Caenorhabditis elegans: one gene and its partner. The protein of the gene in region 1 interacts with the protein of each later gene in a pairwise test. Each region holds a gene or a part of one and is shown on either strand. Other genes may lie near its edges. The genes, in order: sbp-1 and xbx-6.

Region 1 (16,959 bases):
TTGCCGGTTTGCCGACTTGCAAGAAATTTTCAATTCCGGCAATTTGCAGGTTTGCCGATTTGCAAGAAATTTTCTATTCCGGTAATTTGCAGGTTTGCCGATTTGCAAAAAATTTTCAATTCCGGCAATTCACCGTTTTGCCGATTTGCAAGAAATTTTAAATTCCGGCAATTTGCAGGTTTGCCGATTTGCAAGAAATTTTCTATTCCGGCACTTTGCCGGTTTGCCGATTTGCGATAAATTTTAAATTCTGGCAATTTGCCGGTTTGCCGATTTGCAATAAATTTTCAATTCCGGCAATTTGCCGGTTTGCCGATTTGCAATAAATTTTCAATTCCGGCAATTTGCCGGTTTGTCGGTTCGGTTTGCAAATAATTTTCTATTCCGGCAAATTGCCGGTTTGCAGATTTGCAAGAAACGTTCAATTCCGGCAAATTGCCGGTTTGCCGATTTGCAATAAATGATTAGATTTCGGCGATTTGCAAGTTTGCCTATTTGAAAGAATTTTTAAATTCCGGCAATTTGTCGGCTTGCCGATTTGCAAGAAATTTTCAATTCCGGCGATTTGCCGGTTTGCCGATTTGCCGATTTGCCGATTTGCGAGAAATTTTAAATTCTGGCAGTTTGCAGATTTGCCGATTTGCAAGAAATTTTAAATTCCCGCAATTTACCGGTTTGCCGATTTGCTAGAAATTTTAAATTCTGGCAGTTTGCAGATTTGCCGATTTGCAAGAAATTTTAAATTCCCGCAATTTACCGCTTTGCCGATTTGCTAGAAATTTTAAATTCTGGCAGTTTGCAGATTTGCCGATTTGCAAGAAATTTTAAATTCCCGCAATTTACCGCTTTGCCGATTTGCTAGAAATTTTAAATTCTGGCAGTTTGCAGATTTGCCGATTTGCAAGAAATTTTAAATTCCCGCAATTTGCCGGTTTGCCGATTTGCAAGAAATTTTAAATTCTGGCAGTTTGCTGGTTTGCCGATTTGCAAGAAATTTTAAATTCCCGCAATTTGCCGGTTTGCCGATTTGCAAGAAATTTTAAATTCTGGCAGTTTGCAGATTTGCCGATTTGCAAGAAATTTTAAATTCCCGCAATTTACCGCTTTGCCGATTTGCAAAAAAATTTCAATTCCGGCACTTTGCCGGTTTGCCGATTTGCAAGAAATTTTAAATTCCGGCAACTTGCAGGTTTGCCGATTTGCGATAAATTTTAAATTCTGGCAATTTGCCGGTTTGCCGATTTGCAATAAATTTTCAATTCCGGCAATTCACCGTTTTGCCGATTTGCAAGAAATTTTAAATTCCGGCAATTTGCAGGTTTGCCGATTTGCAAGAAATTTTCTATTCCGGTAATTTGCAGGTTTGCCGATTTGCAAAAAATTTTCAATTCCGGCACTTTGCCGGTTTGCCGATTTGCGATAAATTTTAAATTCTGGCAATTTGCCGGTTTGCCGATTTGGAAGAAATTTTCAATTCCGGCAATTTGCCGATTTGCAACAAATATTAAATTCCGGCAATTTGCAGGTTTGCCGTTTTGTGAGAAATTTTAAAATCTGGCAATTTGCCGGTTTGCCGATTTGCAAGAAATTTTAAATTCCGGCAATTTACCGGTTTGCCGTTTTGTGAGAAATTTTAAATTCTGGCACTTCGCCGGTTTTCCGATTTGCAAGAAATTGTGAATTCCGGTAATCCGCCGGTTTGCCGGAAATTTCAATTCCGGCAATTTGCCGATTTGCACGAAATTACAAATACCGGCCATTTGAAGTTTTGCCGATTTGAAAGAATTTTTTAATTCCGGCTAATTGCCGGTTTGCCGACTTGCAAGAAATTTTCAATTCCGGCAATTTGCCGGTTTGCCAATTTGAGAATGAGTACTTCTAAAACGATTCAAATGAATTCAATACGGATTTTCCAAAATAGATAGGCCAAAATAAGTCTAAAAACCCACTCTGTCAAAATCTTCGGCGGACAGTTCCTGATCAGTGAATAGTGTTGCCGTGCCAGCTCATTCTTGTTACTCCTCCAATAGATTCCACATGTCAGAACGTGCGTCCACCATGTGCAACAAGCATCTCCGTTTCGAGAGATCCAGGTTCCGAATTCTAGAAATTTATAACATTTTCAATCTTAAAATTCGTGTTCACTAACTCGCTGACTCATCCTTCTCATTAGTCAAAATGGCAGCGCACTGCGTTGAAATTGTCACCAAAAGTCTTGAAACATCAACCACGTCTACTTCATCATCGAGACGGTCATTGTCATTTAGGATGCGTTCCACATTTTTTGTAAAGATCTCGTCACCACCGACAAGTTCCTGTACAAGTTTGGAGAGTAGGTACACTTTCAGCGTTGTTCGGATTCGAGCAAGTGGGGATACTGGAAAATGAAAGTTTATTTATTTTTTATTTTATTTTATTTTATTTTAAAATACTTACATTGCTCATCTTCCACAAAAGACCCAAATCTCAACTGCTTCTGCTTCGAGCTCAACACATGCTCCAACCTTTTCGCATCTGACATGAACTTTCTTGTCGCTGGATGGAAGATCCATAACAAATGGGACACCGAGTGCTCCGGAGCTCGACGCACGTGCCTTCGAGCTCTTCGTAAAAAGTATCCCGAGAAGAATGGTGCGAGTAGGTTCGGAAGAGCCAAACGGCATTGGATGGATGCAGAAATGTAGATCTGAGCCATGACGGCGCGTGGAAGTCCGTCGTTTGATGCTCCGGCAGCTTCAGCAAGGTTTACTGCACAGAGGGACATGAAGAGGCCCGTTAGGGCGGATGGTTCATAGGTGTCTTCGAAGTTTCCAGTGATACCCATTAGATGGAGCTGGAAAAATCATTACTTATACATAAAAAATACATGTTTCTGTCTCTTGAAGGGATATTAGTTCGGAGTTAGTGGGGGGATATGGTCAGGGTACTGTAGTAGTACTGTAATGGTACCGTAGGAGTACTGAAGGATTACTGTAGTTTTGGAAAAATTGACTTTTTGTCTTTTGAAGGGATATTAGTTTGGAGTTAGTGGGGATATGGTCAGGGTACTGTAGTAGTACTGTAGGGGTACTGTAGCAGTACTGTAGGATTACTCTAGTAAATATATTTTTGAATGCAAAATTTATGGAATTTGACAGTAAACCTGATGAATTTCATGATAGAGAACTGCAGTCTGCGCATGACTCCTACAAACGACTGAGACAGGCTTCGTGGTGGACCTGCGCCTTCTTGCGATGTATCTCCCGATCCACAACCAATTCAAAAGATGTCGAACGCATTCCCAGCCAACCGAAAACACCGAATCAACCCCCGGTGATGGAAGCGATCGATCCAACGTTGCAAGACACTCGCAGAACTTTCTCTGAGCATCTTTCAAATTTCCAGAGTTCAACTCGGCTCTCGCCTTCTCTCGAGTCGTCACAAAAGTCTGCCATGAAACGGACATGAAGTCTTGAACAGGGTCACCATGGATCAGCAGTTTGACAACCACATATATGATCATTAAGATGTTGAACACCCAGACATAGCTCATATTGATGATACTCCCTTCCCAGAAAAGCGTCCGAGTGCTAGTTCCATCCGGGTCATCAATCACTCTTCCATGCTCGAACGGGGAGGCAATCGGAGCTTCTGCAGCGGCTTTTGAGAATATCGCACTTCCAGCGAGCAATCTAAACAAGGATTTAACGCTATTTTTCAGATGAATAGAAGCTTACCCAATCGGATTAAAAATCAGAACTGCTAGGAGCATCGCAAAAAGGGTAACTTTCGAAGATCCATCTCTAGTTCCATTCTTCATAGGAGTCGTTGTGCTCATTCGTGATCGTTTTCTCTCATTTCTAGGTGGAGAAGGAGATGATTCGACGGGTGATCGGGCAGAGTATTCAGTGTATTGAATTGGTTCCGGGTACTGTAATATGGCGAGGTTGAAGATTTTCGGCATTTTCGGTTGTTTTCTTTTTAAATAATTGTATGCTATTTTCAACCAAATTTGGCAGTTTAGACTGCATTTTTTTCACATATTAACCATTTTTGGCTCATTTTTGCCACATGTTTCTGGGCTAATTTAAGCCAAATTTCATGATTTCGACTAATTCAGTTTTATATTTTATAATTTTGGTTTATTTGGACCTTTTCCCCCTGTTTTTGGCTCATTTTACCCAGAATTTCAAAAATTTTGAATTTTTTTCGGACTTTTTTTTTGAGTTTCACATATTGAAATTTTTTGTCGGGTAATTCAAATTTGGTGGGAAATGGAAATTCACAATTTTCGGGCCAAGCCAATTTCAGCAAATTTTTAGATTTTTAGGCCCAAATTTAGCCCAGATTTATCCGATTTAAAATTTATATTTTTCACATTTTTTGGGTCAATTCTGACCTATTTTTACGTTTTTTTTTCTATTTTTTTCTAGATTTTTCAGAGTTTAACCCACCGGTAATCGATTATTCTGCAGTGTCTTTCTCATTTGTTCAACATGATGCTTCAACACCTGATTCTCGTGTTCAACCTCCTCGATATGTTCAATAGCCCGTCGTAGTGTTGCCGATTTTGAAAGCTTAGCTTCATCCCCACACAAAAGTACTTTCAGCTGTTGAATTCGATCATTTATTGAGCATCTATACTTCTTTTCGATGAGATTGTGTGCCGTACGACGCTCGGTTTTTGGTCCTGGAATAGTTGATGTAGGTTAGGAGAAATTTCGAAATTATTAAGATTAAATATAATGCAAGGTATTATATTCTTGTCAAAAACTACCGAAAAGTGATGACATCGAGCAATTATTTATTGAGTAGTCGGAAGTTCTAGTGGAAACATAGTTAGAAAATTGTATTTTTAAAACAATGTTTTTTTCGATTTTCAATGGAGCTTTAAAATAAGCACACTACTTTAAAAAAATTCAATCGTAAAGTTTTTTTAGTGTATTTTTTCACTACTTTAGGTATATCTCCATGTAAGAAAAACCAAAAAAAAATAAATTGTGTCCTTTTGGTAAAATTGATAATATAACCTACTTCGAACAATAATAGTAGTTCCCTGAGACATAGTCTCCCCGGAATCACTATCCTCATCATCCTCATCTTCATCCCCTTCCGCTGTCTCCTGAATCACAATCTTCGCCGCCTTCTCCTTACTCCTCGATGGCCCATTCGTCGCTGAACATGCTCCTGATTTTTTATTCTTTAACCGTTCAACTTCACTCGGAGACATGTTAACTAGTAACCGAAGAAGCTCCTCTTTCATATTCTGCGGGCTTTTTGGACTTTGTGGTTCAACCAAATGAGTTGGTTTCGTCTCTGGAGCATCTTCAATCGATGGAGATGCCACTTGTTCAGGGTTCTCATGGATTTTTGGCATCGGGTGGTGATGGTGGTGATGAGGTGGTGGAGATTGATGGTGTTGTGAGTAATATGATGGTCCTGATGGGCCTTGAGCTGGAAATTATTAAGGATCAATATAAGGTTATCAGTAAAGGGGAAAAGAAAACCTTGGTCGTATGGAGACATGTACCCGTTGATATGTTCCATTGCTTCTGTATATGGTTGAGGAGTCATTGAGGTATGGTGTGGTGGAGATAGCATTGCATGAGTGAAATTCTGGAAAAATCATCGAATTCAGAACGTCCAAGAAATGGGTGGAGTTTTAACTTTGTATCCTAGACCTCCACCCATTTTTGTGAGGGGATAAATTCTGATTCTGGAAAATCTTAGCAACTCCAGAGGCGTGCCAGAAGTTTTCTATTTTTCGCAAGTTTAAAATTTGAATTTCCCGCCAAAAACTTTTCTCAGGAAATTTGAATTTCCCACCAAACATTTTCTCAAAAAATTTTTAATTCCCGCCAAGAAATTTCCTCCAAAATTTGAATTTCCAGCCGAAAAATCTCTCAAAAAATTTGAATTTCCCGTCAAAATTTTTTGTCAGGAAATTTTAAATTCCCGCCAAAATTTTTGTCAGAAAATTTTAAATTCCCGCCAAAAAATTTCCTCCAAAATTTGAATTTCCCGCCAGAAATTTTTCTCACCAAATTTGAATTACCCGCCAAAAAATTTCTTCCAAAATTTAAAATTCCCGCCAAAAAATTTCTTCCAAAATTTAAAATTCCCGCCGAAACTTTTCTCCGAAAAATTGAATTTCCTACCAAAAATTCTTCTCACAAAACTTGAATTTCCCGGCAAAATTTATATGCCATATAAAACTCCAACCATTACAGAATTCACAGAATTATCGCCGAAAAACGCCTAGCCTCGACATTTTATGAGTAGTTTTTAGATATTTTTTGACAGTTCTTGCTTGATAAGACCCCCCTCTACTGCAACATTTACCCCGTAAAATATGCACTTTTCTACACCAAAAAAAAAACGACAAACCTTTTGATCAATTCCATTAGTATTAACAAAAAGCGACGCTGCCTGATGTGGAGTCATCGCTGGCGCGGCGAGTTGTTGAGCAAGTGATAGAGGTCTGTAGGCATCTGCCGGGGGGTAACCTCCACTTGGTGGAGATGTTTGTAAGGGGTTAAGCATACTTGCAGGACCTTCTCCAGATAATTGTTGGGTGGCGGCTAGAGAAGGTCCACGGCCTCCGCCGAGATCAAAGTTTGGCGGGGAAAATCGCATTGAGAAGAAGTCGTCGTTGTTGTGGTTGAGCAGGGAGTGTAAGGTGCTTACGTCTCGTTGACTGAAAGTTGGAAAATTTTCAAACTGCACGCCTACTACCTTGCCTACGCCTGCCATCTCTCCTGACAAATGAAAAGATGCCACGGAAGGTAGGCTTGCCTACCTACATTACTTATATTTTTTAATATACCTATTGTTTTAGTAGCCTAAGCTTTACGTCAGTAGTTGGCACGTAGGCAGGCACAGGTGGCCTTGTAGGCAGGCATAATTTTTCAGGCCTATGCGAAATAGTACCTCACAGTACACTAGCCAAACTCACCCATCAATATCATAATATTCCTGTGGCGGACTGTGTTGATTTCCGGGAATTGATGGATCCGGTTGTTGTGATGGTCCGGGCTCTTGCCAGTTGTGCTCCATGTCAAAATCGAGCGGGTCGTTATTTGGAAATGCTGAAAATTAGAACTATAGGCACCGAAAATGCAAGCCTGCCTGCCTACTGCTAAACTAATATACTATAGAAATTATATTCCTTCAATGAGCAAGTTTATGGGCGTAGGTAAGTTGTGTTGAGCAGGTAGGCATGAGGTTGGCAGGTAGGCAAGGGCTAGGCAGGTAGGCATGAGGTAGGCACGTAGGCATGGGCTAGGCTGGTAGGCATGAGGTAGGTGTTTTGGGTTTTTGAAAATTATTTTTTGTGTTTTGATTGAATGCTTGTTTTTGGTGTAAGCCTGGTGTGTAGGCGCAAACCAGGAGGTATGAGGTAGGCAGGTAAGCGTACGCAGATAGGGACAAGGTAGGCAGGTACGTAGGCATGTAGGCGAACAGGTAGGCATGAGGTAGGCATATAGGGAAAAAACTCACGCGCAATATCATCCAATTTTGTGACCAATGAGAGAAACGGATCCGACATAGGGACGTCTCCCTCGAATTCTTCGTTCATTCTGAAAAAAAAAAGTCAAATTTTGAGGAGCAAAAACTCAACAAAAAAACGAGAAAAATGAGATAGTTAGTTACAAAATCAGAACTCAAAAGCAAAGAAGGAGACATTGGGGAAATTGATAAGGGGAGACTTCGGGTGATAAGAAACCCCCAGAAACACCCCCCTCTCTGGTAGAAGTTCAGAAAAAACCGAATTTGCAGGAGTTTTATGATCATTAATTTGGGAATGGGAGAATAGGAGATGCAAACGCGCTCTATGGAGAATTTATTTCAAAACTTTTATGTGACTTAGGTATATGCAAATCGGTAGTTTTGGAACCAAAATGTGAAACTTTAAACTGAAAAAATGACAAATTTCCCCCCCCCCCCCCCAATCACAAGTCATTTCCGATCACACTTTTGACATCGATTTTGAAAAAAAAAACTTTAATGACAGTATATCGACATTCAAAAAGTATATAATAAAAACATTTGCGGAAGTAATGGAGTTGAATTGACATGCAAAATATACTATTTCGGCCAGGCCGACAACCTGAGAGCCCGTGAGATGTCGTGGGCATATTGCAGCCGACAACTCGTGGGCATATTCTCTTTTATTGTAGAGCCGTGAGACGTCGGTTGTAAGTAAACAATAAGTGAGGACTTGCATCCGACACCTCGCCGGCATACTACTGTTTTGTTCTGAGGGCTCGTGTGATGTCGGCTGCAGGAGGGAGTTACTTTTGCAACCGACATTCTACAGGTTTTCCTTAAATCGACACATTTTCCATTGCCTACTTTTGCCTATTTTCAAGGTCTTAATCTACACATGCACTACAATTAGAGGAAATTCGCGTGTAACTCTCATGCTGTGCACAAACAACAATCAAAGAATGATTAAGAAACTGGTCAACATGAAATCATTATCTTTTATCAACAAAACTTTTTGATAGGAACAGGAATTTTTAGAGCAAAGAATGATGCTCTTGCAGAAAATTTGAACAACAGCATTACAGTTTCATTGCCCCCTGTCTTGCAGCCGACTTTTCATGGTTTATCATTTTGTTTTGAAGACCCGTGAGATGTCGGCTGCAAGTCACTCCATGGCATTTACTTTTATACCCAATGCGGCAGGCATCTCACGGTTCCTCACATCAAAATATACTTTATCTATGGGCCGACAAAAAAATCTTCGGCCCCGATTTTTTGTCAGCCACGCCGGAAGTATTTTTCTGTACAGAAAAATGTAAAGAAATTTCGCAACCTTATTAAAATTATCAGTACATGTAAGCTTGATACGCTGCTCTGCTCCGCATAAAATAAGAAGTAGTTAATGAGGTGATCTGTGGAGTTTGGGAAATTTAAAAAAAGAAGGTTTTCAGATTTTTAATAATTTTAATTCCAGAAAAATTGGTAAAATAGGCAAAATTTGAAAAAAAGTTAAAAAATTCGAAAATTATTCTAAACAGTTTCCATATTTTCCATAGAAAATTATATTCTTCAAAAAAAATCGCAAAGGTCATATATTGAATATTGCAGAAACTGATTTTAAAAAATAATATTTCCAGAAAAAAAATTTTGCATGAAACATTTGAACGTTGAGAGAATAAAATCCTAAAAATTGTAAATAAAAAATAATTATGAAATTTTCAATTTAAATAGTGTAAGGAAAATACCAGTAAGAAAACATTTTTTAAAAATTTCTAAATTTCCAATCAAAAAATGGCAATTACATGAACATTTAATTTTAAAAAAAAAGAAAATTTTAATTAAAAGCAGGAATATTCTGGTTTTGACAAAATTTATCAGCATTTCATTTTAAAACAATTTCAAAAATTTGAAAATTAATATTTTTAAAGTCGTCCTAGAATTTTGAATAAAACATTTCAAATTAATTAATATGTTAATATGAAAAAATTCCAATAAAATTTTTTAAAGGACTTTATCGATTTTTCTTCTAGCTTTTTAACCGTATCATGTTTAATTAATTGAATTTTGAATTTTTTCAAAAACTCCTGGAAGTGTGCCAAAACTAAAAAATGGTATAAATAATTATGCAGTTAGGCTATTTATACTATTTAAAAAATTTTCGAAAAGAACCTTTTTTGCCTACAAATGTAGGAGTTCTAACAAGCAAAAAATGCTCAAAATTTTTCAGAAGGTCAAATGTATTCGAAAACGAAAACAGTTTGCCAAAAATTTTTTTTGTCCGAAAATTCTAAAACAGCTAAAAAAATGTGTAATCTCTTTATGATTAAAAAATACTATGGAAAATTGAAAAGAGTCATACAAAAATAAAATAACTAATTACGTTTTATCAAAAGATCCTCCAATCATCCACTCTAACTGATCAGCTGTCTTTCTCTGTCTGCGTCTCTTCATCTCACACAGACTACAAGATCAATGAGTCACGCGGTCAGCAAAAAATAGACGTAAATATTTACAGATTATAATGCATAAAACATGACTTTTTAAAATGAAGAAACGTCATTTAATTGTTTAAAAAATCAATAACCATAAAGATTTGAAAAGTGCAGAAGAACCGGTAAACGATTCAAAAAAAAGAAGAAAAGTTGAAGTAAAAAGAAGAAAGAAAAAGAGAGAGAAATAACTCTCCTATCTTCTTGTAGACACACTGTTTCACCGTCTGCGTCTCCACAAATCACACGCTCTCTCGTTGACATTGTAGTATGTAGTAGTTAGGGTGATAGGAATGACGATATTTGATGGAAACACAAGTTTTATTAAATCGGAATTTTTTTTGCAGGAAAAAAACAATTATAGAGAAGAATGTGCAAATGGAATCACGTGGGTAGATGTTCCATTATGACAGATAGGCTGGAGTAGAGCCAAAGGAAGAATGATGGGATTGATAAGAGCTTTCCACGTGGTAACGAATTCCGAGGATATTTATGACATGTCTAAGGAACGCTGAAAGAGAATTAATCTGAATTACAGTTGCACGTGGTGTCAGAGTGTCTCATTTCGTTTTGATCTACGTTGATCTACAAAAAATGCGGGGGAAGAGACACAGAGTTTTCAATTGATTTTGCATGGTTTATAAAGTGCTGACGTCACATATTTTTGGGCAAAAAATGGCGCATTTTTTGTAGATCAAACCGTAATGGGACAGGCAGTTGTTGCTTTCAAGGTACAAATCAGGGAAGGGCGGCAAAGTCGGCAAGTCGGCGAATTGCCGGTTTGCCGATTTGCCGTTTACCGGATATCAAATTGCCGGAAATTTTTAGAGGGATTTTTTATAAGACGGAAAAACTTAAAACTATGCCTTTTTGAAATTTTTCCCCATTTCTTTCAGATATTTTCATAGAATTTGCTTACTTTTCAAAATAGATGTAGGATTAGTCATAGGATGCGTACAATTTTGCCGATTAAAATTAAAATTTTGAAATTGCCAGAAAAAAATGTGCAAGATCACAATTTGCCAAAAATTTTTGGCAAATTCGCCAAATCGGCAATTTGCCGGTTTGCCGATTTATTTCAAATTGTGGTCTAAGGCATGACTGAAAATGCACTTTTCAGCTTCATCTCGGCGGTTATGAGATATTTTGGAACTTTGTTTTTTTAATTCTGAAAGAACTTAAAATTTGCTACAAAACGGCTTTGGGGATTTTCTGAAAAACTTAATTTGAAGCCAGATATTAATTTTCAAAGTTTGGAAAATCTTTTAATTTTGCATACAAATAGTCGGTTTTATTTAATCTCAAATCTCAAATATGTGAACAATTTGAGCCTAAAAATTTTAAGTGTTTTCTTCAAAACCAAACACCCAAATTTTTAAAAAATTTTAAAAATAACATTAGAAATTCAGATCGAAATTTATCCAGTACGAAGTGCTCCTCGCCGCAATTTTTTTTGATAACCAAAGAGGCTTAATCCTGAAATCTAAAATTGAGTTGAAATACTTTGGAATAAAAGAACGGGTGTATTTTTTTTCTAACAGTACCATCCAAAGCTACTTGATCTCTTTCCCAGTAGTTCTCACGTAAGATGCTTTGCTCTTTGAGCACACGAACAGTTTTGTGTATTCTCAACATGTTTGTCTTTTTACCTATGTGCTAATTTCCTCACACTGTCTACACAAATGCGCGATTTTATAGTTTTAGTTCAGTTTTCTTGAAATTTGCGCTTGTGTTTGTATTATTTTTGTTTGAATTTTTGTGTTTGAATTTCTAAAATTTTCAATTAATTCATTTACGAATAAAAAATAAATTTCTATGTTTTTTTTATTTTAGCGAAATTGAAAAATCAGGAAAAGTTTGAAAAAGTTTTAAACATTTTTTAACAATTCATTACAGTCTATTTTCTGTCATTTTTTAACAAATCTCATTTTTACTAGAATTGGGGTCGTCACTGTGAATGTCGGTTTGCAGTTTTATTTAGTGCTCATCCCTCGTACCATTTTATATTGTGTAACCTGATACTTGCATAGCTCTCTCTCTTGTTAATACCACCTTTTGGTTATCTAAATGTGTCTCTTGATTTGACCTGTCGCGCGGTCAAGTGGAGGGGCAACTGTTGCATCACACTTTGGTTAGCATAAACATTAACACAATTCGCAGGTTTTTTTGCAAAACATAAACATAAATAGTTGTGAAAAAAACAAATACATACATTTAGGAAATCAACCATTTTGGATTACATTTTTCTAGTTCACAAAAAATTGTGAAACGCATAAAAAATCGCAAGAAAATCGTCTAGGAGCAACTTCTTAAGTTTATGAGAAATTTTGAAAAATTTTGCTCCAAATTTTTCAAAAAAAAATCGGAAATTTCCCTACAAAAATTTTGAAAATCTAAAACATTTTAGGAGCTCTAAACAGGATTTGAGATCCATGCAAAAAAATTTTTGCGTGAACCTCAAAAGGTATTCTACCCAGAAACATCAAAAATCGCTCGAAAATGTTTCGCCCTTTGAAGTGACTATTTTAACATTCCCATTCCCATTCACCTATCATTTTATCTCAATCTTATCACAACTTCTATCCCCCCTTAAAAGTCCTCTTAAAATTTACGACCTTTTTTGATCACACGCCGAAAAGTGGAAAGATAAGAAGACATGGTTTAAAAAATTAACGGAATTTTATGTACTTTTTGGTGAAATTGAAAGTTGAAATTTTTGGGATTTTAATTTTAAAACGTCAACGAGGTTCCAATTAAATCTTCTGAAAAAAGGCAATTAATATAATGAAACTGAGATTATTCCGTCGATGCACCATGTCGAATTTTTCAAAAATTTCCACTTTTGTCAGTGCGCAGTCCGCTTAAATACACTTGTATGTTAGACAAAAAATGCTCAAATTTTTGAAAAAAAAAACATTAAAATCAATTTTTTATGGCTATTTTTAATTTTGCGGGAAAAAAATGAAAATTGCTGAATTAATTTTGAATTACCGCGCAAGTAAGTTACGTCGTTTTGACAGTTTTGCTTTTTCCTCATTTTTTGAAAAATCATTTAAAGCATAAGTTCTCAATTTTCAGACATTTTTCAGCAGAAAATATTTCTTATGTTAAACTATAGATTTTTAGGTCTATATCAGATATTTCCAGTTACCAAGATTTTTTTATGGGAAAAAATATGTGAACAATATTAAAAAATGGAGGAAAACCCATTACCTAATTTTTCTGGAAAACGAAAAAATAGCGAACATCACAATATTTAGCGCTTTTCATATTTTTTTTGGCAAAATTGCAAAAAAAAACATTAAATCTACAGGCAATACTCCGCCTTTGAATAAAACTGCTCAAACTCAAACTTTCAAATTGTCTGTAAATTCAAAACTGTTCAAATAAATTTTTTCAAAGCTTGAAATTGTATCTAGAAACATCTAAAACCCTAAAACTTCCCCTCCGAAGTCTCCATCCTACTCAACGATCCCATTCTCCACATATCCCGAGTGCTCGTTTATCAAACAGTTATGTGTTTTGTCTGTCACTCTCGATTCCAATACTTTCTCTCTCTTTTTTCACTTCCCCCGTCGTCTTTCCGTCGTCGTCGTCGTCGTCGTCGTATAACCGATTCCGATATGCAATAATATGTAAATGTAAAGCAATCGTTTGTGTTTGAATCATTCCTTCTTCTATCTTTCCAAAATGTTCATCGATTTCTTAAGTGGTGATAAAGAGGGGTGATAAGAGGTGATTAGTGGCCGTCCTGGATTGGATTCTGTTCTTTTTGAAGTTTTACCGCCGCTCCTTTCCTATGATTCTTAGCTTTCAGATTAGTATCGTGTGACGAAGTATACGTGTTTTTTTTAACATAATATACTTTTTTGATTTTTCTCATTAAAATCATAATATTTTTTTTGATAAACCAATAGTTTTCCGGATATTCTTTTTTGTGAAATATTCTAATTTTTTGAAACTCAAATGTGAATTGATAACACTTTTTTTGCTGATATCACGGAAACACAATATTCTGATAATGCGTATTGCGCAACATATTTGACGCGCAAAATATCTCGTAGCGAAAACTACAGTAATTATTTAAATGACTACTGTAGGGCTATATCTATATTGATTTATTGATTTTGGTTCATTTCAGGACGCGAGCCCGTAAATCGACACAAGCGCTATAGTAGTCATTCAAAGGATTACTGTAGTTTTCGTTACGAGATATAGTTATATTTTGCGCGTCAAATATGTTGTGCAGTACGCATTCTCAGAATTTTGTGTTCTTTAAATAACAAGTGATAAAAAAGCCTTGGAAATTAAAAAAGAGCAAAAAGCGTTGTTAGTTTTCGCTAGCAGTTTTTTTTTGGATAAAATGGGTTTTAAAGGAATTTTTATCATTCTCATTGTCTACAAAAAAAATTTCTGATAAACCTTTTTTTAAAGAAAAAAATGTTGAATTTTCAAATTTTTTTTAAACATATTTTTCTTATTAGGTTTCCTGAATGTTTTTTGTATTTTTTTAAAATAAACTTTTGATTTTCAATAACTTTTCATTGAAAAAAAATATCGTGGTATTTTTTCAAATTCCGGAAATTTCTACAATTTATTCGGAAAAATTCAAAATTCGGATGTTTTTGGTATAGTTTGAGGTGAAATTCAATTCAATTTTGGAGCAACTCTCCGAGCTCTAACTTTTATAAAAATAATTTTTGAAATGCAAAATTCAAATTTTTTCTCAAAATTTCAAAATGCACTTTTCCATTCTATCCTAATCAAAAACTAAAAGAACAAAAAAAGAGAGGGTGTATTGTTGTAAAAGAGCGATAGGGACAGATTTTTTATGACCACCCCTTCGATTCAGACGATAAGGGGAAATGGAAACATTAACGGACGGTTGGAGAATAACAAGGACCATTAGGTTGACTATTTTTATTAGTTTCTTTTACGATTCAATCAATCGCCATATGTTTGTAATTTCTTGCTGCTACATATTAATTGAGATATGAATTAGGATTTTGATTATTGTGCGTTTACGGCTGGTGTAGTTGAAAATTTCTTTAACACCGAATTTCATATTGAAATTTTATGAACAACACTGCTCAAAGAATCAGTTAAAATTTGAAATTTGACCGCCTTGCGGCTGGAAACTAACTATTTTAAATCACTGTCTAATTTTGGTATATAAGCTAATTAGCTTTAGTTTTCAACTTGATTTAAGTACATTTAAGGTTGATGGATCACCAGAAGTTACTAAATATTGCAACAATTGAGTGGGCAGATAGGCAGGTATTTCATGCCTACTTGGACGATTCCGAATTTGTAGATCAAATCCTGAAAACTTGTTTAAACAATTTTGAAATCGTGAACTTTCCAGAGTTCAGACTTCTAGAAATGTTCAAAATTTCCCGAAAATTTTAAAATATTTTTTTTAGGAATATTTTATGAATAATCTCAAAAATTAAAAAAAAATCAATTATGAAATGTTACTCTTCTTCTGAAAAATATATACGCATTTTGCTAGTAAAGCCAATAGTAAAGCTTTATAATTGAGAGCAGATGTCTATGTCGATTTCCTCCAAAATTTTGAATATTTTGAGCTCCTGCTCCTTCTCGACCTCAATTCCCTAGATTTGAAAATGTGTGAAGTGTGTCTTCCTCCCAAATTCTAATTGGCTTCAATTTAACCATCGATCACTAGTGTTTCTCGCCGAAAAGAAAAATGTGCACATTTTTTTCAAATTTATAGCATAGAAAATCCACATTTCGGTTTTTTTTTTGATTTGACGGATGTCTTTTTGAAAAATCGATTTTTTACTGGAAATCCAGAAATTCTCATTTTCTTTAATTTTCGGCAAATTTCTAAAATTTTGGGCAAATTTTGGCAACTTTTTGCTAGTTTTTGGCAAAATTTTCGGCAACTTTTACAAGCTATTGCGAGCTTTTGCCAACTTTTTTGAACTTTCGGCAATTTTCTGTAACTTTCTGGCAAATTTCTGCAATTTTTTTGCAAGTTGTATCATTTTTCGCAGACCTTTCAAATTGCCTGTAATTTTCTGCCACTTTTTGGCATTTTTTTGCAAGTTTTGGAGATTGCAGGCAACTTTTATCAAATTTTAATAATTTTTTCAATATTCAACAATTTTCATTGACTTTTTTTTGGCGATTTTCTCCAATTTTTGACAGCTTTCGGCAAATCTCACCAACTTTCTGCAACTTTCCTCAGTTTTTTTTTGCCAATTTTTGCCATTTTTAGAATTTTCGCCATTTTTTCAAATTTTCCGATATTTTTTAGCATGGTGCATCTAGAGAGGTTTGTGTAATTTTTTAAGTACTAATAATCCTGATGTACACTTATATCTTTATCAATCTGCTATCCCGTCTACATTCTCTCCCACCTCAAGCAAATCTCCCCTCTACAAAGTTCTCAGTTCTCACCTCCTTCCACATGTCCGTTCGATTTTCGCACCCTACAAGGTCATCGAAAAGCGAACCCGAATTCTCCATTTTGCAATTGCATACTTCTTCTTCTCCTTCTCTAATTCATAGTTTTCTCTCACTTGCCAATTTTTTATCAATGTTTTCTTTTTCCCCGCCGCATCGGTCCGCCGCTCACTCCTTTCATCTCACCGCCGTATTGTCGTCGCTCCAGTCGCGTCCATTCTAAAAAGTTGCGTTTTTAGTTCTTTTTGCATTGGGGCTCCTCGGGACACCCAGAGAAAGCCACATAAATGATGGAGATGGAGTTTTTGATTTTCTATTCATCTTTTAAATGAATACACCTACCGCTCCAACCCTTTTTTTCATTTTTTTTCTTTGAGTCTGAACGAACTTGGTGTTTTTTTTTAAGTGAAAAATTAACCTGAAAATTTGGAAAATTTTGGCATATTTTTTGGCATAAGTTTTCTTCCTTTTTAGGCAACTTTAAATAATTTTTGGCAGCCTTTGCCAATTATTGACAACTCTACAATTGCAACTTTTTGACAAATTTCTACAATTTTTGCAAATGTTTTTC
Region 2 (16,959 bases), on another chromosome or scaffold:
CAGTCTCTTTTTTGTTGAAATTTTTGTTTAGAAAACTTATTTAAAACCAATTCTTAAGGAATATGCATTTTTTTTAAACACGAAATTCGCTTTAAACAGAGTACTTCCATTGGAAAATGTAAGGGAAATAAACGATAAAGCAGCCGAAGCTACCATAAACTTTTTTGCGCATCGAGACCAGTCCAAATCAATCCATGCGCCTTTAAGAAAGTATGCCAAAATCTTGTAAAATTAAGATACCATTTTTTCCTAGCAAGAATTTCTCGCTTTCTGATAATTAATTTGGTAAAAAATTCTAAAGCTTATCTGAAACCTTTCGTCTTATAATTTTACAGACTCGGTTTATATTTTATTTTGATAATTAAAAAATAATCAAGATTTTTCAGAGAAAAATGAACACACTGCGACGAATATCGACATGTCGATTCACAAGTAATACAGCGTCTTCAACTTCTTTGGAGTCTGCACCGGCTCCACTAAATCCAAAAGTTCAGAAAGCTCTGACTCCTGCCACGTTTTCAAATCCCAATCAGCTGGCTCGATACCTATCGAAAAAGGTTTTGGCTCACGCTCCAGGTCGATTTGTAGTGTTGGAAAAGCCATATGGATTGTCATGTGTTGGACAACTTCAAGAAAATGGTGGAGTATTTGGGAATAGTGTTCGAGATGAGAGAAAAACTGAAAAATGGGCTGGTACAATCAAAGCAAGGACTCAAGAACAAATGGGAGTAACAATTTCCGATTGTATCAAAGATTTGAGAAAGTTGCTCCGTGAGCCTCAGCTCAGTTTCTGTACAGGCTTAAAACGATACTTATCTGGTGCAATTGTTCTTCCATGTAATGAAAAGGATTCCAATATTCTGAAAGAATGTATCAGAAGCACTTCTTCAAATGTCGAACCCCCTTTTATGTATAATGCCTTGTAAGTTTTATCAATTTCTAAAGTTTAATTTTAGTATTTATTATTTTAAAGTTCAGAGCAATCACAATTGGAAGACCTGAAAAGAGCAGTGGAGTCATAACTGGATTTGCCACGTTTCGGAATGTCGGAAAGCACAAAGAGTACATTTTCGAAGAAAGAAAAACAACGAAACGGGCAAAAACTGGAAAATACGCTGTAGAAGGACATATGAGCTATCGAGTACTGGACACAAAAAATGGAATTTCATTGATCGACTTTTCAGTAAATAAATGTAAATTAACCAAAAATCTTCCGAAAAAAATCATCTTGGTATATTTAATTTCAAATTAAAAAGTACGACGACGCTGGGTTTTTAGATAACAAATGTTTGAATACATATTATTTTTGTATTGAATATTATATTTCTTCAGTTGCTCGTCATCTCCCACGACTGATGCTAACTCAGATGTCTTGTCCGATCCTCGGAGACACTATCTACTGGAGACGTTTGGCCGACGTGGATGGAGTTCCTGAACTTATCAGCGCGGGAAACATGGGGCATAGAATTGTAAGTCACCAAAGTTATTTTGTAAAGAAAAAAACTTGAATCTTATTCAATCTTACAATAAGAATTGAACTTTTAAATCTTAAAAAAATGTATATCTTAAATACTATCAAAATCAATCTGTATTGTACTGTTTTACTCCCCATATATTTGCAAAATAAGTTTGACAAAACTGGAAAGTTGCCATGTTTTTCTAAAATGACTATTATTCCAGTTCATCCCACCTCATCTTTGTTCGACGCTCGAAACTTCAAATCGAAGTCTACTCACTTCACTTCCAATTTATTGCCACGTGTACAACACAATTTTCGAAGACGTCGGTGGTCATGAAGCACATGGTCTCGTTGCAGCTGCGAAACCACCGGGTATAAACTTTTTTGATTTGCAAAATCTGAAGCTTCCTATATTTTTAGCTCATTTCATAGCAATGCTCGATCTACTTGGTCTTCGTCATGCTTATAAAGATTTTATGAATAGATCTGAAAAACCTTCAGAAGACTCATCGTCTTCAACATCACGAACATCGGGAGATGTCGTATTTTAGGATCTCAAATTTTATTAGTTCAGTTATTGTAAGAAATCTTGTCAGTTTTTTGTTGTTGTCTGTTGCTCTTTGTTAACTAATAAAACGCAATTTTTCTTGACGTCGCTCTGCCATAAATTTTCAATCATCTTCTCTTCTCTTTCTACTGCTGCCGTTGCACCCTGGGTTTGAAAAATTTCTCTTTCATCCCGTTGCAATGGTTTACGGATTACGGTAGATGTCTCGGTTCAGTTTGAAACGTTAAACAGTGTATTGAAATTACGATTGGCATCGGATTTGAACTTTCAGGTACTGATGGAGACATAATTTGAATAGATATTTCTAGAAATGAAAACCTTGCAGTTGAATATTTGAATTGAAATATTGGATATCAAGAAATTACAACATTTAAAAAAATCAAATCAAAATGGCAAAACATTCAGAGAAATGAGTTTGCTTGTATTACTTGGTTTTAAAGGCGCATGACTCTTTGAGATTACTCTATTGAAAATTTTTGAAACGTGAGAATTTCTAGTTCGCAAATTCGTAATAAATTTGATTAAAAAATATGTTGAATGTATCTAATTCACAGTTGCAATATTTTTTCTTACTATTATTTTCCATTGTATCTGAAAAATTAACAAGTTTCTCATTTTCATTACTACATAGTCATCGTGAAATTTCAAACACTAAATATATTTTTTCCAAGTAATTTTTGATTCCAATTCTTAATTATATTGATGAACAGATAGTTATTTTTGGGCCAGGAAAATAAAATTCAATGTAGCAATATATATTTGCATCAACGGAGCTCAACACCATTATATATCCTTATTTTCCCTGAATTGCCTTTATTGTGCTCGGTTGTAGCTACACTTGTAGACCCACGTCATCTGTCCACACCGCCTACTCGTTTGATCTTCTTTCCCGCGCATTCGATCTCTAAGTCACTCAATCTCCTATGCTATTTTAGTGAATCACGCACATGCAATAGCATTTGCTCACAATTGCAGACACTCAGTTACTGTGAGACAGGCAATATAATGGCCCTTCGGGATATCGAGTGTTGTCTAGAATGAGGTAAGTTGTGAGAAGATAGGAAGACAACGAAGTAAGATAAAGGAATTGTATTTGACTAAAAAATGAAATATCAATTTGATAAAAATATGTTTTGAAACTGTAAATTAATTTAATACATTGTTTTCTTTGACAGATCTTTGCATGTTCAATCAGTTTCTGATCTGAAACTTTCAGCTGAAAAGTATAGACGAATAAATAGTCAAATTTAAGTAAATTGATAATCTTAGATAGACCTAAAAAAGTAAAGTGAACCAATTCACGATTCGGTACGTTTCTGCCATAGAATACAACTCATTTCTTAAAATGATATAGAACAATACTTTAAAGAGTTATTCTAAAGAGTTCTAAGAGTTATTAAGAGATATTACTCTAAAGAGTTACTAAAGAGTATTCAATCTGAACCTTAAAGGAACATTAAAACTGAAGAAGATTATTTTGTTATTCGTTCTATCATTACTACAATCTTGCTCTTTTGATCTCTTGTCTCATGAGTATTTTGGTAGTTCAATCTGACAATTAACAAATTGTTATGCAGGATATTCGCAAATTTGGCAATCCTTATCATATCAATTACCGTCAAAGGTGGAACATACCATGTTTGAAACGAAATGAAGTCAATTGGAACATATAGAACGGTTACAGTATGCTCGATAAAGTATAATTTGATAAACTTTATTTTGTAAAACTATTGTATCAATCATCTACGGCATTAATCCTCAACCTTGAAAATAGATATGAAAGTAAAGTTGACAAGGCACAAAATTGGAACATAGTGATCGAAAATAAAGATATCTATTAATTGGAAATTGTTCGGCGAGGGGCTCTTCGAAACATTTACTGGGGTTTTATGAAAGTTTCTTCTAAAAAACATAATTTAAGATTGAGAGGTGCTCTCAATCAATTCAATATTTTCAAAGAAATAATCATATTCTGTGAAATCAACACTTAAATTATACATTTTTTCATATCTTTTAAAAAATGGAGTTGTATTTACAGGATTTAATGAGATTGTTGAGAGTGACGTCACTGACGAGCAGATATGTTTCAAACATGAACTAATTAGTTTCTAGTATAGTTTTGCCTAGTTTCTTATATATTAAGCAGAAACAACGGACCAGTTCTTCAGCTTCTGAGAGTAGATTATATCTTAGGAGCATACATGAGCACTGTATGTACCTTCTTTGTCTAACTTTCTTTGAGTATCTAAGTCTCTTCAGGTTCTATATCCATCATTCAACCAAATGACACTGCAGGGATGCCTATCTCCTGACTGAACCCACCAGTCGTCTCTTGCTCATATTCCTCCTACCTTCTGCTTCTATTTTCTCAGCGCATCTTGTCCACCTACAGTAGTAAATCTCCTCCCTTTCCTTACGTTGCATTATGAGATATCTCCCAATTTTTGTGTTTCTCGGATCATTTGGCTATACGGAAACTACATTAACAAAGGAACTTATCAAAGATGCAGCTGAGAAATGCTGTACAAGAAACCGTCAAGAATGTTGCATTGAAATTATGAAATTTGGGTGAACCGCTTTTACGAGCACGAACAATGCGATAATCGGTATAATTTAGAACCCCAATTCGATGTGGTTATGACAGGGATCCGAAGCTACCCGGATATGTCTACAAATGTCTTCAAAATGTGTTGTTTGCAAAAGAACCAAAGAAAAAGATTAACTTGGATGGTGAGCGTTTTTTTTTCAGGTAAAATTCTCCTCACAAGCCAAGATATCAAGTTTTGTTTATTCTTAAGAAATATAGGAAATGACTAATACGGTATGTACAAGTTAGTTTTAACTTGAGGAAAATCGAGAAACCGGTGGCATAGCGCCCGCCCGTGAGGTCATTGATTGGCCGGAGGCAGAAAGACCACACGCATTGAAAAGTCACAATATCTTTTCTGCCTCTTTCATTCGTATACTCTTTGGAAATTTTCAATAATTTTGAACATTTTTTTTTTAATATTCTTGCCTCAAATTGTTTTGAAAAAAATCAAAGTAAATCATCAGAGGCTTCTCTGATTTCAAAATAATAGTTAGAACGTAAGTAAAGAGAGAGCGTTTGAAATTTTTCATGAGTAAGATTATTATTACTACTTATCTTTAACTATTTGAAATTTAAAAATGGCATGCAATGTATGGGAGAAATATTTGAAGAAAGCGCCCAAGACTTCAAGAATATCTGAATTTGAGGAGTTATATCACAAAAACTGAGCCTGCAACCTATACTAAAAAGTATACCAAAACAAAGATAAAATTAAAGTCTTTGTTTCTGAGTATTTATTATCATTTGAAAAATTATTTAATAACACGTAAAACGTCTTCAAACTAACCCCAATTTAGAATGTTCGCGCTCTCTCTTGCTGAAATCAATTATAACTATGATAGAATGATTATTCGAATAATTCATAAGGGCTATTATTTTTTCACTTTAAATTATAAAACGAATACTTTACCAATTTTGAAACAAAGTTTCTGCCAATGTGAAATTAAACTGGAAATTGAAGTTTCACCGCTAAGTTCGAAAGCAAATGTTGGGCATTTCCATAATCCGAGTTACAGCAGAACGAGATGTTATCATATAGTAAAAAAATTGTTCAAACATTTTTCGATATTTTAGAAATTAGAAAAAATGCAGTACGATGACGTAGACAATGGTAAGAGGAGGAAGATAGTGCGTATGTGTGCGCAGAGAGGTACAAGGCTTCGGGCATTGGGCAGTCGCCACCATACGCTCGATCGATATATTCAAAGTCGGTCAGGCTTTTAACAATTTGAAGCTTACTGATATCAGTAAATTTGTGATAAATGTCAAGGATACCGTGTCTTTGAAGCAACTTAAGCTCTCTATAGTTTCCTGATTTGATTTCACTTCAACATACTACATTTCCAGTTATTGATAACACTTATCAACTAGCATTTAAACATTTTCTCATATCTATAATAATGTTTGATTTCCTGTAAATAGTTTCCTCTTCCATTTCGAATTGTAATATTTCCCTCAATAACATTGGAACCTTGTTCAACTAAATAGGGATCACTTTGACAACACCTAAAGCATCTACAAAAAATTTTTGGTAATGTAACAACCAAGTTTTCTAAAAGAATTTGACATGCTCTATTTGTTAGAAAAACTTTTTGATTATGTTTCAGGCTCAGTTTTTGAGATATTCAACTCTAAAGTTGCAACTTGTTCTAGGTGGTCCGTTCAATTGTCCTAGGGTTGTGCAGGCAATTGGTATTGCGCAGGGAGAATAGACGGACCCTTGTGTCTTGCGTACCACCTGTCATCATGTTTCGAGAGTAGATATTCTTCAAACCCTCAAACTATTTAGAAATATATTTTTTAGCCTCAAAAAGTTACGTTTTTCGTTCAGAATTCTATTAGGGCTACGTTTTAACATAAGTTTTAAAATAGGCTTCTTTATTTGTTTTTGAGATATTCATGGCCAAAAAAAAACTTTACAGTATTGAATTTGGCTCTAATATTTTTCAATACTTGTTCTCTACAATGTTAAAAAAAAATTAATTTCGCCTACTCATTTGATCATTTAATAGATTTATGAAAACATAAAAATTATGATAACAATGTCTTTGAATTCTCTGATAATGTTCATAATTTGTTTTGATCTTTCTCGTGTTATCTCTCCAAGATAAAAGAGTGTTCTACTGCGAGCACTGATACCATATCTTTGCATGTTTATCCTTTTATCAGTTGACTCACTCTTTTGTTAGGTGTATTGATTAGATGGGAGACTCCCCTGCAACAATTGTCCTACAGGAGCAGAGCAGTTGCTTTTTTTCTTTTGACATCTTGCATTTTTCGTTAGAAAGAAAATATTTAAGTGCCGCCGGGAGCAATCTGTTTTATTTACAAATATATCAGAATGCACGGCATCAGCTAATAAATATTGAATAAGTATTTTCTTGTTCTCACCCCTGTACAGTTTGCTTTTCTATTCCTCATTACACCTCCCAATCCAGGTGTGCTTGGTCCTTCATCTTATTAGATCTGCCATACGGTATAGGAATTACGATCTACAGTCGTCATAAAAGAGTCCGCAATACCGTCATGTGTGTCGAGTTGCAACAAAAGAGTATATGGGAAATGAGAGACTACGGTAAATGAGAGATACCGTAGACGAGATATAATGTAAGAGAGTGGTAGATCAAATGAGATGAAAAACGCGTCGATTAGGTCCATCCAGGAGAAACTAGATTGCGTAGAGCAAACATAGCTGTTTTGACGGGAACAATGTTTTTTGAGACTACAAATATCATAGCTTCAGCTACATCTGAGGTTTTCAAATTTTTCTCGAATAGCTGATAAAGTGAAACTTCATAATGAAGGTAGATATCAGTGCTCAAATAATGTATACCGTATTCCCCGTTATTGTATTAGACCTTATTGTTCAATTTTACCAGCTTATATTTTAGTTAGCGTTTGTTCTATTCAAATATTGCCAATTGAGAAACTATTATTTCTTTTTCAATTGCTTGCAGTTAAAATTTATTGATATCTTTAAAATGAGTTGATAGTGAGATATAAAGCTTTCAATTAAAATAATGTGGTGCAATACTATTAGAGAAAATACAGTAATCTTACTAAACTAAATGCACGCGTGATTAAATCCAAAAAGTACAGAACTTAATTGGTTTATTTAGGTGCGTTCCCCTGAGCAGAAATTGTCTTAATATAAATTAATTTGAAAATCTGAAATTCGAGAAATTTCTACTTTCTGTAAAGTTGTGAATATTCACTAATTTTATTGATAATATGAGGTTTATAGAAAAACTTACAAATGCATTTGACTCACAGAATTGCTATAATTTTACGATTTCCCAGAAGAGACTTTCCCAAAAGAAATCGTTATTTTTGAGGGACAAATTGTCTTAATTATCGATCTATTATTTGCCTCTTCACACGTAAAACATGCCAACACCTGTCTCTTTTGACTCCGCCTCTCTGATTGCCCCGCCCATTTGCCCATCCCACGCCCTAATCTCATATTGTCTTTATTCAGACTCCGTGTGCTGCTCCGTGTTTGGCAACGACCAAAACGATTCTGGAAGAAGATGTGAGAATCGTTGCAAGAACCTCATGACCAGCCCTTCCATCGACGCTGCCACACGTCTGGACAGCATCAAAAGTTGCTCGCTTCTGGATAATGTACTGTATAAAGTGAGTTTTTGTTAACACAGAATTTCAGTTCGCCTATTCTAGTTAGACAAACGGGTAAATTGAAAATATTCGGTGCAATCTGTCTTATGGTTTTTTCAGCTCCTGCCTATTTCAGTACGTAGTCCTAATTTTTCCAGTTTTAAAGAAAGGATCCCTAGTTGACCAAAGCCAAGTTTAAAAATATTAAATTATCTCCAACTCTGTAAAAACGGCTGCGATTTGCAGACTTTTTCTTGGTCCAGGCAAACAATTTTGGAGTTCGTCCCATCCATTCCCTCGTCTATAAAATTCATCCTAAAACGGAGAAAATTAAAAAAAAAATTCAATTGGCAAGCGGAAAATCCGATAGTGGATAGATATCACCCCAAAAATTGTTCGCCTAGGTTGAGATACATTTTTGGAGCAGTGCGTCAGTCCAGGAACCACGTTTTTCAAAGATATCTCATTCGATATTCTAATCGTTCAATTCGAGTTAATCAAGTGTGTCATAAAACAAATTTATTTTTCAGTGTTTTGAGAAATGCCGGAGCCTCCGTAAAGATGGTATCAAAATTGAAGTGCTCCAATTCGAAGAATACTGCAATGCAACGTTTATCCAAAAGCGAACTTTCCGAGGAGTCTGAATCTGGGCTCATTAGCCTAAAACATCCCTAATCCGCCGTTGTCATTATGGCACTCTCCATCATGAGTGGTCCAATTTTTTCTTTTCTTTCTAAACCTTTTTATTTTATTTTTTGTAACACCTCTATGTCTACCTCTTAATCAAAGCTTTGAGCTTTACTCACTTTGAGTTATATTTTTAATCTTGTGTTCTCCTTATGTTGAAGAAAATTTTCGATACGCAACTTGTCATATTGTTGTATATATTTTTAATAGAATTTTTTGAAATGTCCTATTCTTATTGATTTCTTCTTAACATTCTCTTCAAGAATGTTTTCGGATGCGCTCAGATGTCATGAAGGCGCACTACGGTGCGGTCCTGATTTTATTTATTTTTTTTTTCATAAAAAATATATCTTCTCTTGTTGGTTTCTCCTAAAGTTGTCAAATATGAATATTCAAGTACTTTCTACGATCTTTTTTATTGAATAAATTGTTTTATCAACGCACAGAACCCATACGACATAATCAACAAAAAATGATAAGAAAGTGATTTTCGAACTACAAATTTTATCAATTTTTTTTCAATTCTCTGCTTTCTAACAAATTCTAAATTTTATTTGTAATTTTAGTTATTCAAACTGCAAAACGAGCAAAACTTTATTTCTTATCCGTTTTGAAAGATTAATAAACTAAATGTAATGTTGTTTCTCATATTCTGCTTGTTATTTTAAACTGAATAATGCTTTAGAGCTAGCAAGGAAAAATCAATCAATTCATTCGAAATTGATAAAATGGCCATTAAGGTTTTTTTTTAAATTTTATGTGTTAACACATGTGTTGGGTTTCATCATAAACTTGTACTTGGTGGAATTCAAACTATATAAGTTTAGATTTTTTGTAAATCAACACAAGTTACCAAAACTGTTCAGGCGTGATCCGAGTTTGAAGTATGGATTCTGCTAACTTAAGTTTAGAATACAATATAAGAATAAAGTTAAGAAAACAATTAACTCAAGAAATGCCGATGTTCTTAAAAGCAATTTTCAATGTTCAAGCCATAGAATTTAAGTACTTTTTTATTGACTCTCTGCTAAAAACCAAAAATGCAAAAACTTAACTGCCAAAATATGATTCTGATCTAGTTGTTTTCGGAATGACTACATTAAGCTCAAAAAATGCAATGTGAGAAAACCAAATGTCATTCTGAACTATTTTCAGATGTTCCAAACGTTTAATATCTACGGCTATACAATTGAAACTTATATTCAACTGACTACAAAGATGCAACTCGCTGAATTTTGAAACTCTCCATGATCTTAACAGAATTTTCTCGTATGACTAAGTAGAACAGAATAAAACAGAAATCTCACAAGTTATAGGGCACCTTCACTTACTGAAAAGCTGAAAAAAAAAGCGAAAAGAACTGTTCATGTTTGCCTGACGAATGACTATTAACAAATAAGCTTTTTTTCTCTTCTTCTTTCGACTCTCTTGCTCACATTTATCTTTGTTTAAATTTCAGGGCATTTGTCGTAATTCCACGAAATTTCAGATTTCAGCTGAAAAAAGTATTAGTGCTCCAGCAGGTGAATAAATTTATAAGAAACATGTTTATATTATTTTATTTTCAGAACAGAGCAATGAACAGTTTCATCCTAATCAGGCCGAAGGCCCACTGTTACAGAATAATGGTAAGTTTGGAATTAAAAACGCAAACAGTTTCTTTGTGAATATTAAACTTAGCCTATTATTAGTTACGATAGAAGTCACAACATACAGTAACCAATCCTGTTTTTTCTCCTTTATCTTCCTAGATTACGTAAATATGAAATAGATTAGATTTAAAAAACTTCCAATTTGTTCGATGAAACGGTCCATAATCGTTTATAAATATTTTAAAAATCGAACCGAACGGCACACGCGTGTTGTTATTTTTATATATATAACCTAAAAAATAGAACTTTGTAATATTTTTACGTGTTCTTTTTCAAACTTTATCTGAACTGAAATGAAAGTTTATTTCAATTTCAGCGAAATGTATTGGAACGGGAATTCCAACAAATATCGTTTTTATATCAAGCTTGATAATGGTAGGGGATTTCAAAAGCTTTTTTATTTCCGAAAACGAAAAAACAAACTACTTTTAATATATTTGAACCAGTTTCAAGCCTACTGTACGGCTTTCAAGGGAGACGCACGATAGCGCGCGATTGGGTGTCGCCCCGCGAACTATTTTTTGACGCATGCGCCTTTAAGTGTACTGTAGAAATTCTGCGATGAATTTTCACGCTTTTTTCGATTTCTCTCTTCATTTCCCTTCTATTGTCTTCCGTAGGGAATCAAAATCATACAAAGTTTTTAAAAAATTAATAAAATTTTGGATTTTGTAATCTGTTTTATCGTCTGGAATTTTTTTAAGCTTAGAAAAACTTAGTAAATTATGTAAAAGTTTCGAGATTGTTAGCATTTAACTTATTGATCATCTCACTATTGTTGATGAAATTTTTTGTTCAAACTTTTGATGTTTTCACTTTCTCCTCATCTCTTCCGTTTTTCTACAGAGATTTCTTGATCTCTCAACGGTGACTCAACATTTTTCATTCTATACAACTGTTCCCTCACTTTAAAAATTTCTATATCTCTATGATATAGTTTTTCTTTCGATTCATGTTCCAGTGTTAGATGTGAAACACTGCTTTTAAGCTTCACTGCTTTTTCAAAAGAGTAGTGGTCTTCGAGCATCAACACATGCGTTTCTCTTGTTTCTCTCCTTTGGCCGAGGTCGTTGTATTTTTTGTTTGACCTGGCGAGTAAAAGAGAGACAACGTTTCATTGCTTTCTCTGTTCCTGTTTTTCATAGATTATCACGTCGTTCTTGTTCCGACAATACAAAAAAGTCACCGTTCAAACTAAAACCTACATTTTTGAATAGATGCTCTATATTGAGAACTACTTAAAACTCTTGTTTTCTGGTCGACATCGATTTTTTTTTGACGAGGCAAACCCCGACCATTGCAAACAATAGAGACGCAGATATCCAAAGCCTTGGTCAGTTTACTGCGTCTCTTCTCTCAACGAGATCTCATCACAATTGCCCGATGCTGCATTCTCGTGAAAGTGAAGAAGACGTGCCATTCTGTTGCGAAATCACACGTCTTCTTCTTCCACTGCATTTTGGTTTTTCTACTTATTTGAAGTCTAGGCATGAATGAGAAAGATAATACCCGTCTCAGTTTTCGAACGAAGAACGTTGAGCGTATTTACTTTCCTATCGACAAATATGAGTACATTCGTTCTTTCTGCTCGAACGCTAAAAATTCGTGCTCTAGCAACACCAGAAAGTACCGGAGTTTGAGTTATTTGTAACTGCATCTGAAAATCTTTCTATAATATTTTGTCTTCTTAAAAATCCGAGCACCAGTATAAAACACACAATTTTAATACTAAATCTGTAGAAGCTCATCTTTTTAAACTAAAATATGACAAATTCTTCATTCCTGAAAACAATCAAATTATTTTCATCTTCTCAACCATTCTAATCCTTCAATCTAGATATGACTTTCCCTCTAAGCCTTAAAATAATCTTATTTCTTCCTATAACTGACGCACATTTCTCTAGCTACTAGAATTTGTCTGAAAACAGACGAGAAATTCCCCTCGTGAGCTGGAGAACCATGTTTCCATGGAAACTCGAGTAATGTGATAAACAACTGGGACTTTTTAAATTGCCATTTCCATGAAATTCTATACTTTTTTGCTTCTATCTCACTTGTTGACTACATTTTATTCTTGTATTTTCGTTTCAATAATATTATTTAATTCCAGATATGTCGTACAATCAACAGCCATACAACCCGGCTTATCAGAATCCCTACCCCAATCAAGGCCCTCCGCCACCAGGATTCAATACAGGCGACGGACAAAATCAAAATCAAGGTGAGAGATTTTTTAAAAACAAAATAAAAAAGTCAGCGATATCAGAAGTTAGACATAAATTAAGAATATTTTAACTTCCAAAATAAATAAGTAAAGAAGATATCGAAACTTTTAGCAACTAGCTCTTCGATCAATAAATTTGATCATTTTTTAATTGTATTTTTGTAATGTGACGTCATTAATCGAAATACCAAAGGAAACCCGAAAAAAAATCGACAAAATTTGTTAATGCGCAAGGTGGATTTTTTTCAAAAATTTTACATTGAAACGTATTAAATTATATTTTCACAACTAACTGTTTTAAAACGATTCAAAACCTCAATATTCTTAAGGTGGAGCCTATTTCTCACCACCGCCACCAATGCACGGAGCTATGTTCAATCAGATGGAAAATGGGCAACACGGTGGTGGAGACAATCCAGATGGAAAGTATTCATTCCAATTTTCTGATAAGACTGTCCGCGCTGCTTTCGTTCGAAAAGTTTTCAGTTTGGTCTTTATCATGGTAAGTAGTACTTTCAAAAAGTTTTAAATCTATTTTCAAAAAATTTTAGCTTTGCATCGTTGCCGCAGTCACTGTTATCCCGTGGGTTCATGATGATACGATGAGAATGGTCCGCAGAAATTCGGCTCTCTACCTTGGGTCCTAGTATGTACATAAATTGAAATCTTGATTAATATTTAATATTTCCAGTGTAATCTTCTTCGTTACCTACTTGTCATTGGTTTGCTGTGAAGGAGTTCGTCGTAAATTCCCAGTTAATTTGATTGTCACTGGAATCTTCGTAAGTTCATTTTAATATAACAAGTTTCCCTTTATCAATCCAAAAATCGTTTTCAGACTCTAGCAACTTCAGTTATGACCATGGTCATTTCAGCTCATCATGATGCTAACGTGGTTCTTCTGGCATTGGCGATCTGCATTGGATGTACGTTCTCCATTGTCATTGTCGCCTCTCAGACGAAATTCGATTTGACTGCGTAAGTTTTTTTTTAAATCAAATCTTTTTTTCAAATGCTGTGCTAAACCTGCAATAAGCGGATTTATACTCTAACAAGCACCAATTTTCTGAAATTTAAGGTACCTAGGTTATTTAGTCGAATTTGAAACTAATTTTTAATATATTAAATATGTTCTGACAAGATGTACGCAGATTAATTTTTGTAAATAGCAAAATTGGCAAAAACTAAACTTAGTTCAGAAATTAGAATGATGACGAATAATTTATAACCACTGATCTTCAAAAAATATATCCGAAATACTAAATTTTCAGCCACATGGGATATATCTTAATCATCTCAATGTGCTTCATGTTCTTCGGACTTGTTGTCGTGATCTGCTCAATGTTCTTCAAGATCAAGTTCTTGATGATGGTATATGCTCTCGGTGGTGCTCTTATCATGATGCTCTACCTCTTCCTCGACGTTCAAATGCTGATGGGAGGAAAGAAATACGAAATCTCACCAGAAGAATATATTTTTGCTTCTGTTCAAATCTTCATTGACATTGTCCAGATGTTCTGGTTCCTTCTCAGTTTGTTCGGATCCAGGTAAGAAATTCATTGGGAAACTTTGAAATTTAGCTAGACATTCTCAATAAACCCTCTGGTTATTTCCAGAAACTGAATCTTCTATTTCTCTATCACATTTCGTGTGGTAAGGCGGTTGAGTTTGTGGTATTTCAAAAGGCACGTTTACTTTTTAGATTTTTTTGTGTCATTGTTCACTAACGCTGTATTAGTAACATTGTGCCAATTTAAATGAATGTGTATTATCGAAAAAATACGATCGCACAAATTTCTCATAATTTTTTTTTGATCTACGCTGTTGACTAGGCTCCTCCCCCAATCTTGTTGCCGCTGTTATTTTGTTGTGGCTGTCTTGTCGAAGGAAGGGGAGGAGCCTAGTCAACAGGGTAGATCAAAAATAAATTATGAGAAATTTGTGCGATCGTATTTTTTCGATAATATGTGAATCATTTGGTTGATAAAAGCAACAATTTTCAGTTTCTATGTTGTGAAAAGCTTTTTATCAACTTGTAAACCTAATTATTGTATTTTTCAGCGACTAAACAACGGCCTTCACCCGACTTCATCGATTCTCGATTCTTCAATTCCTTCTTCTTTTTCTGTTCTATACTAGATTCCATGCCTAATTTACACACTGGTAGTTCACTTTGTTCTTCTTTGCCTGTCCCCTGCTCTGTCCCTCACCCCGAAAAATTTCTAACAAAAAGAAACGAAAACTGCTGTTGTTTAAGATGTCTCGTTCGCTACTTTCCCGCTTAAACTCGTAATTATTTGTGAAATGAAACTTAATATATATTTTTGAATGAAATAAAACATGTATTTACAGCAAACAATAAAACATATAAAAATGTGAAAAGATCTAACGACCTCTTCCAAAGATGTTGAGAAGCATCAGGAAGATATTCAGAATGTCCAAAAAGATTTCCATCGCAGCAAAAATGTAATCTTCTGGTGATAATTCATATTTACGACCACCCATCAGAAGTTGTACATCAATAGCCAAATAGAACATCATTAAAAGAGCAGCAAGTCCAGAATAAACGGAATAAAGGAATTGCCAATTGAATGCCAAAGTGAAGATGAGTGCAAAGATTCCAAATGAGAAAAGAACCATTGAAAGCATGAAAGCGATTCCCATTTTGCTCGTCAAATCTGATTTCGTTTTCATCGAGAAAATAATGACTGATCCACTGCATACTGTGGTGATACATAGACAAATTAAAACTGATTGAACATTATAACAAGCAGTAACAAACATTGTCATGACTGCTGCCGAGAGAGTCTGAAATATACAATAATTTTAGATTTCCTTTTACGAAAATTAACACATGTTTCCAGCAATCCTACCGTAGCCTACCCTATCTCAAAGCACATTAAGAATTCTGAAATATCCAGAAAGAAATTGAAGTTATCTTGTCAAGAATGTTCATGGTTATACATATATTTTAAAGAAAAAAAACTATTGTCCACGAGGTGTCAGAGTGTCCCATGTCGGTTTGATCTACGTAGATCTACAAGAATTGCGGGAATTTAAACGCAGACTTCTCAACTGATTTCGCATCATTAAGAGCGTGCTGACGTCACATTTTTGGGAAACAATTCCCGCATTTTTGTAGATCAAGCCGTTATGGGACAGCCTGACACCACGTGATTTTAGTGGTTAAAATTAGGAAAATAGAATTTAAAGCGGCCCGGGACTCTCTAAAATAATGATTGCGTTTTTGGAATGTGATAGAACCTTACAATACGTTTTGTAACGTTTTTATTTTCTTCCTACTAAAAACCACTTTTTAAAAACCTTTTTACTTAAAAACTTACGAAAATAGTGAGAAGAATGATATTGACTGGAAATTGCCTTCTCAAATTACCACAGCAAGACAACGCAATTGCAACAACCAAAAATACAATTCTGAAATTTATATTATCATTCGAAGATAATCAAAACTCTATTGTAACTCACATCGCAATGAAATATACCCAAAAGTTGTTCTTAACCCAATCCTGAAACGGTTCTGATACCATAGGAATTACACAGAACGCTGCTGTGATGGCAAACTGAAAATGTGAAAAGTACAGGTTTGTTGAAAGTCATTTTGGATAAACTAACCATAATTGTGACAAGCATAAACACTTTTCTGACGAAGGCCGCCCGGACTGTTTGACTTCTGAAAATCAAAAAGTTTAAGATCTCCAAGTTTATTCAAAATTTTGTAACGTATGTGTTCGTTAATGTCTTTGTTTTTGGGAAAAAGAGAGGCACAGTCTTCCAAGGTATGTAGGCACGCCTAACATATACCTATATACTTAGAAGATAACCAAAAGTTTGCTTAAACACGTGAAAACTCGGAATTTAGGAGAAACTTTCTGGAAAAAAACATTAAAAGCTGCTGATTGCCAGCAAGTTTAAAAAAAAAATTGCCAATTTTTAACAGGAAGTTGCCCCTAAATTACTCTAATCAAATTATTTGATTTTTTAAATGTTTAACTAGGAAATTAGATGTTTTTCGTGTACATTGGCAGGTAGGTACGCATATAGGTACATAGTAGGAATAGGTCGCCTATAAAGCGATCATGCCTGTTTGTGCTTGTTTTTTCAGAAGCCTAAAACCATGTTTGGTCTGGAAAAGCCCAGTTATTT

What was found.
Region 2: the proteins of sbp-1 (region 1) and xbx-6 interact in a two-hybrid assay, tested with the Caenorhabditis elegans proteins (2 studies listed by BioGRID).

What each region holds. Positions count from the first base shown.
Region 1 is NC_003281.10:11,435,008-11,451,966, forward strand, and holds the start of sbp-1 (Processed sterol regulatory element binding protein sbp-1), read right to left. Parts: upstream 7,560-16,959; 5' UTR 7,559-7,559; coding exon 7,480-7,558; intron 7,068-7,479; coding exon 6,935-7,067; intron 6,677-6,934; coding exon 6,367-6,676; intron 5,596-6,366; coding exon 5,487-5,595; intron 5,434-5,486; coding exon 5,014-5,433; intron 4,670-5,013; coding exon 4,434-4,669; intron 3,911-4,433; coding exon 3,717-3,910; intron 3,672-3,716; coding exon 3,143-3,671; intron 2,834-3,142; coding exon 2,437-2,833; intron 2,378-2,436; coding exon 2,150-2,377; intron 2,104-2,149; coding exon 1,950-2,103; intron 1-1,949. UniProt on the Caenorhabditis elegans protein: Transcription factor involved in maintaining normal fat levels. Regulates the expression of genes involved in lipid metabolism in response to nutrient availability, such as the fatty-acid desaturases fat-5, fat-6 and fat-7.
Region 2 is NC_003283.11:9,692,677-9,709,635, forward strand, and holds xbx-6 (Protein lifeguard 1-like), read left to right. Parts: upstream 1-12,679; 5' UTR 12,680-12,683; coding exon 12,684-12,792; intron 12,793-13,124; coding exon 13,125-13,297; intron 13,298-13,346; coding exon 13,347-13,441; intron 13,442-13,486; coding exon 13,487-13,577; intron 13,578-13,633; coding exon 13,634-13,773; intron 13,774-14,066; coding exon 14,067-14,342; exon of another isoform or gene 14,343-14,411; coding exon 14,412-14,418; 3' UTR 14,419-14,448; exon of another isoform or gene 14,449-14,664; intron 14,665-14,856; coding exon of another isoform or gene 14,857-14,863; 3' UTR 14,864-15,151; downstream 15,152-16,959. Other genes in the region: ZK287.7 (RNA_ligase domain-containing protein), read left to right, coding at 393-922, 979-1,193, 1,333-1,469, 1,681-1,831, 1,880-2,010; Protein her-1, read left to right, coding at 4,453-4,595, 4,645-4,757, 8,096-8,253, 8,763-8,876; tag-120 (Transmembrane BAX inhibitor motif-containing protein 4), read right to left, coding at 15,181-15,603, 16,140-16,230, 16,282-16,376, 16,429-16,486.